2 separate regions of the Mus musculus genome follow, and region 2 is reported to be linked to region 1. The links are microRNA targets in miRTarBase. Many come from high-throughput screens and were not tested one by one. Region 1 holds a microRNA gene; the other region holds the end of a gene's coding sequence.
The links. The annotated mature microRNA mmu-miR-5133 reads GCUGGAGCUGCGGCAGCGCAG and lies in region 1 at 2,002-2,022, shown strand. An mRNA with a match to its seed (bases 2 to 7 or 8) in the 3' UTR can be bound and repressed. Matches are read on the target gene's strand: a 7mer-m8 pairs with bases 2 to 8, a 7mer-A1 pairs with bases 2 to 7 and ends in A, and an 8mer does both.

Region 2: miRTarBase lists Svopl as a target of mmu-miR-5133. Seed matches in the 3' UTR shown: 7mer-A1 at 1,983-1,989.

What each region holds. Positions count from the first base shown.
Region 1 is chr9:62,121,506-62,124,586 of GRCm38, reverse strand. Mir5133 (microRNA 5133) reads left to right here and starts at 1,993; the gene lies at 1,993-2,069. It overlaps Glce (glucuronyl C5-epimerase), which reads left to right and starts at 1,978. Exons shown (of 5, transcript NM_033320.5): 1 at 1,978-2,102.
Region 2 is chr6:37,982,000-37,985,080 of GRCm38, forward strand. Svopl (SV2 related protein homolog (rat)-like) reads right to left here. Exons shown (of 16, transcript NM_177200.4): 16 at 1,740-2,524. The coding sequence ends at 2,513. Among named protein-coding and RNA genes, the nearest start is that of Gm33494, 49 kb to the right of the region's middle.

The DNA of each region.
Region 1 (3,081 bases):
CAAATATTTGAATTTGTTCGGGTTTCCCATTTAACACCAAATCAAGTCCAATTACTGTGGCTTGGTAGTCAAAGCCTTTCACTATCTGGCTCCTTTCTGATCTTGCCCCCCACCCCCACCCCAGATGGGGGAATCTATTTACTGAGCCATCCAACCTGCAGCCTGGCTCAGCTCACATGCTTTTTATCATTGCTCTGGTTTAGATTATTTTCTCTGAAAAGCTTCCATTTCTGCCTTTAATTTATATGGGCCATCCTAGTATTTTACCACCCAGCTCAAGCTTCAGAGCTGCCTCTCTTCCCTCTGGATTTTTCTAACAGCTTTTGTCTGAACCAATTTGTGGCTCTCAGAGTGTGCAGTGGTGTGTGGACATTTTTCTTATTATGCACAAGGTGTGCAATAAGATAAGGAGTCATCAATATTCAACCATTTTCAAACTAGGAGAGGGGACTTTAAAAAAAAAGTAGCTAAAGAATGAAAAGAACACAGTTAGGCAGGTGCTAAAGGAAGACATCCTGAGCGTTGTCAATGAACCTCCGAGAAGCCATTGGGGAAAAAGTCCCACCAAAGAGACCATTTGTCTAGTAGGAGAGAGGTCTTTTGAAACTGTTGGGAGAGCAGCAGATTGTGTGGGCAAACGCAGTATTGTAGCAGGGAAATAAGGGATGAGAAGGTGGGGACCACAATACACTTTAATTTTCTCAAGACGTGGGATTCTCAGGACAGGGCAGCTCGAGTGGATAGAACCGGCAGGGTAGTTGTGTTCTGTTCAAATAACAGGGGATAATGAGTGTGTTCTGGGGATAAAGGGGCTAAAAAATTGATAATGGGGGTGGGGGTGGGGGTGGGGGAGCTGACTGAGTCTGGGCCTGGCTGAGGTCCAGTGCACAAGGGCAGGAGTTAACCTTGAGAAAGAGTAAGGCTACTTTTTGTGTTGGGCAAGGGAGACTAGGGGAAGATGAAGGAAAGCTACAGGGCAGGCATAATAATGAGTGAAGGGACTTAAATGTGAGGGGGGAATGGGAAAGGCTAGGAAAGCCCAGTTTCTGAAGCCAGTACAGATAAGCACCACAGTTTCCATTCCTTCCTTTTAGATTTATTGAATGCTCTATACCCTACCTGTGCTAAACATTACTGGGCCCTATGGTCTGTAAAGATACAAGTTCTCGGGTTTGTTAGGTTAGCACTCGTTTGAGATTTCGTTCTTCATCTTTGTGGAAGACTTTAAGTAGAACGCACAAATGAATTAGAAAGGTCCTTTGTTGGACCAGATAAACTGGGTTGGAGCTTAAAGCACCCGTGACGATATCATCGCCGTTTGAAATAAAAACGGAAGAGAGTCCGAAATGGGAGAAAGCTACACTAAAGGAGGAGACCGAAGTGAGTAAAGTGAGGCTGTAAGTCTTCAGGCTGGCAGATGGGACCTCCCTGTTCACTTCAGAGAGCAGTGAAAACGCACGGACAGCTCTTCGGTTTAAGCACTATTTAGTTCAGCTTCTCCGCTAAGTGTCTCTACGGCGGCCGAAGAGGACCAAACTTTGCCCAAACCACGTCATCTAAAGTACCTCTGCAACTGCCCAGGTAGCAAACTGACATCGGGTCAGCAACACCTTCGCCCGCAATTTATTGATGATAGGCGGGGAGAATTAGCTCTACTCTTTTGCAATTGGTCACAGGAGAATGCGAGTCCCGCCTTCTGCGCTGCCACCGTTGATTGGTTTTTTGGAACTGTCATTCGAGGACTCTCCGCCCCCTCATCATAGCTCCTCCCCTTAATATGGCCCCTCCTCTTGGTGACCCCGCCTTCTACACCGAATCTAACAGGCTGACGGAGCTGCCATTCGAAGAGCCTCCGTCCCGCCCTCTCCTCCCCGGCATGGCCTCGCCCCTTACCGTGGCTGGGATCTCGCGGGAAGAGCCGCGGGCACGGCGGCGGCTCGGCTCCCCAGTAGCGCGCCGAGCGGGCGGGCTCTCCTCACACGAGCGCTTCCTCGCCGAGAGGCTGGAGCTGCGGCAGCGCAGGCCTGGGCCGCCGTGTCTCTGCCGCTCGCTTCAGTTTTCCTCAGGGCTCTGGGGGCCGCTCGTCCGCCGACGCGCCTCAGGTGAGGGAGCTCGTCGTGTCGTGGCTGAGGGGCGGCCGTGGCAAGTGGGCTCGCGACGGGGGCGGCTCCCGGGGATGCGCGGCGTTCCGAGTGCGGGGATCTTGGGTGACGCGGCGGGGGCTGGGGTCTCGGGGCTTCTTTGGCTTTGGAGTGGGGGTGGGTGGCTGCCCAGGCGGTCCCGGGTCTCTAGGGTCGCGGGAGCGCGTCCTGTGTCCTGCCTGAGAGCCCGGGTGCTGGCATAGCGCGGTTCTGGGACTTGGAGACCATTTCTGGCGATCCCGTGCAGTTGAGGGGCTTGGGATACAGTTTAGCCTTGTCCGGAGGGCACGGGGAGACCTATGAGCGGAGAGGGGTCCGCTTGGCATTCCTGGGGTAAAGCAGGAGGATGTCAGGGTTCCAGAGACTTGGGTTTGTTTAAGGTCGCCATGGGGTGATAAGACGATGCCCGTGTCCCTCCCGGGAAGGAACGGACTGGGTGGGTGTGGGTGGGGGCGGGAAGCGTGCATGGGGAGACCAACATTTGTATTGGGGTTTCTGCTTCGCCCAGAGGGGGGCGGTAACTGTGCGTGATGGTCCCCATTCTTTTTCGGGGCGACAAGGAGGGTGATTTTGCCGTGTGGGCGCGGCTCAGCGGTCTCTGGGTCTCCAGGGGTGCCAGACCCGGTTTCAGGAGCCACCCCATGGCACTGCTTGTGGCTTTCGGTATCTGACGGTCTCGATCTGGTCTCTCTCTCTTTCTCGATGAGATTTAACTCAGTGCTTCTTCGTTGGACGCTTGATCGGGGCAGTTGCCTAGTTGGAGACACAGTGGGCTTGTTCTGCAGTTTTCTTTTCTTTGCCCCAGGATACCTTTGGGGACGCGCTGGTGTCGCCGGAGCTCTGATCTCCGGAGGAGAGGAGAGGAGCGATACCAGACTTGAGCATGTTGTCTGGAATACCTGACTGTTGAGTGAGGGTTTAGATCTGAGGGTAGGGCGGC
Region 2 (3,081 bases), not on the chromosome of region 1:
GCCATGGCCGCCCTTTACTTCTCTACTGTTCTCCCTCTCTGCATTTCTACAATAAACACCTGAAACCATAAAAAAAAAGAAATATATCTTAAAATAATTGTTGAATATTAACAGTTGAAAATATTAAAATTGTGTCCTACAAACATGGGACTATTATTGATAATTTTTTCACTGTGCTTGAAATTAGCATTTTCTTAATGTTTAACTTCAAAGAGTTTTTGCTATTTGGAAAATTTTTAAATATACTTACTGATAAAATAATTTCTCTCCTAGAAACACTGATAATCTTTTTTGAGTGAACTGATTGTAAGGCAATGTACACAGATATAGAATAGGTTTTAAAGACCCTCTAACTTATGTTAGGTGGTATCATATAAGGGCTTTTGAATATATTTCTTAATGATTCATTTTTAATATTTTATGTTCTTTTACTATGCTTAATTTCCAAAGAATATTTTGTATGTTTTGAAACAATTTAGTATTCAACATTAGATGTAGGATCCTCAGTTTTGAATAGTATTAAATATTCATTAATGATATTTTTAGGGTATGAAAGGATATGAGTATTAAAGTTGAACAAATTTTTCTATGTATTTGATTCTCAAAATAATATCATTAATATGTTTCATGTATAAAATGCATTTAAATAATAAAATTTAAGAACAAAAATAATAGGTAAGGTAACTAGCTTAATATATTTATATATTACACCATGCTGCAGTAGTCTGTATAATTATCCGTCAATTAGAAATAAATTTTTAAATGAAAGAATTTGTTTTAATTTTTTAGGCTTGTAAGAAAGCCCATATGTATACCTTTCAGAGCCTATAACATAGTCTTTCAAATTCATGTGTTACTGGTTTGGTTTTTATGATGGGGGTCTATGTCGCATATAGCCCTGGCTGTCCTAGAAAGGCTGGCTTTGAACACAGATTTATCTGCTTCTGCCTGGTGAATTCTGGGATTAAAGGCCACCACCAAGCTGGGCCAATCTATGCATTTCAAATTCAGGATTCAACTAGTCATAAAATTTGGGAAAAAGTGATAATTTTTAATCCCATTACTTGGAAGGCAGAGGCAAATGGATCTCTGAATTTCAGGCTAGCCTGGTCTATAGAGTTAGTACAGCCAGAAACACTATACACAAACACTGTCTCAAAAAAAACAAAAAGAAAAGAGAATGTGTTTATACTAAATATACATAGGCATCTCTGTTATTATTTTATACATAGCATTGCTGTAATGACCTGGAGATGACAGAAGTATAAGGAAGGATATACATACTGTGCCATTTTGTATAGGATTAGGTGTTTGGTTTCCACCGGGTGCCTTGGACCCAGTCCTTTAAACTGCTAATGTGTTAATAACTGCACCTTTATTATAAGAAACTAACTTTAAGCCAGTTATAGAGTGGATCAAACAGGAATTGTTTGCTTCCTCTTGTATGCAGTTGTGGTTGCAGCTGCAATCTTTTGCCAAGGAGGGCAGGGGATCCTTAGCCAGCCTAGTGGGCCTCCATAATAAGCCTGAACAGCAAAAGACAAAATCTAAATATAGACGCTTTAGATGTTTTCTTTCCACAGCATGTCTTTCCTAATAGAACTTGCATAACCAACACCCCCCATATATCACGTTCTCTGCAAACAGTATATAAGTTAAGCATGTTATAGGAGAGCTGTACATGCGTCATGGGAAGCAGTGATTCCCTCCTATGATTTAAAAAATAAAGAGTAATGGCATAAGGAGAAAAGTAACTTTATTCCCAGCTTCTTGCTAGCTATGTACAGAATAAAGTGGGGGTTTTTTGTAAACTATCAAGACCATGATTTAAATTCAGTGAAAATCAGTCTAATTTCTTGCCTTAGCTACAGAATCTCTGTCCTTCAGCCACAGACCATATGGGCCAATGCCAAGTGTTTGTCTAAGGTTAAATAGTTGTTGATACCGCCGGGCATGATGGTGCACACCTTTAATCCCAGCACTCTGGAGGCAGAGGCAGGTGGATTTCTGAGTTCGAGGCCCTCCTGGTCTACAAAGTGAGTTCCAGGGATATACAGAGAAACCCTATCTCAAAAAACAAAAACAAAAAAAAAGTTGTTGATACCAAATGAGAAGTGTATCCTCCACCCTTACCTTCTCCTGGCCCCATTCAATCTCAGGGTTTATTGGTTTGGAGGTAGGCTTTTGATGTTTGTAGACAAGATCTCATGTAGCCCAGGCTAGCCTCAAACTAACTTTACAACTGAGGAGGATATTGAACTCCTGGTCATCCTGCCCCCTCAACCTGTATATGCTGGGATTTCAGGCATGAACCACATGTGTCTAAGGATATCCTATAAGAGGCTTGTATATATTGTTCCCTAAGGAAGAACCCCACTGCATTCTTGGTGTGTGCCTTCATTGCCTTAATATAACTTGCTTTCTTAATTACCACGTGCAGAAATAAACCCATTAAAAATAATAACTCAGTGAAGATCAAATATACTTTTCTCCACATTAGTATTGCAGGTCCTCATTTAATTTGCTATGGGAAAGAAAAAAGAAAGAAATTAGTTGGTAAGGTTTTGTTCTTAACTTACAGAGAATTATATACATCATTTACAATGCTAGCTTTATAATTTAAAGTTGTTGCAATACAGATATCTAAAGAAGTCCACACTATACTCATTCTGGTTTTGGTTTTTGGTTCTTTTCAAGCATCATCTTTTTTCTGTGTAGTCTTGGCTGTGTTGGATCTCTCTGTGTAGACCAGGCTGGCCTTGAACTCACATCACCTGCCCCTGCCTCCTGAATGCTGGGATCAAAGCTGTGCACCACCATGCCTGGCACTATAAACACGTTCTTTAATGATTGAGTTTTTTAAGTGACTCAGCACTAAGCTATTGACCAGGTTGGTTTATTCAGTCAAATTACTGTTTTCTTGTTTTTAAAAAGATGTGCTTGTCCGTAGGAATATTATCACAGCGGTGAGCTATGTATGTATCTATATGTGTACCTTTAATTTTCCTAAAGACACCACCATGCAATGGCCAGGGTGTGTGTGTGTGTATGTATTGAACCAACATGTTAAAGGTTCACCAT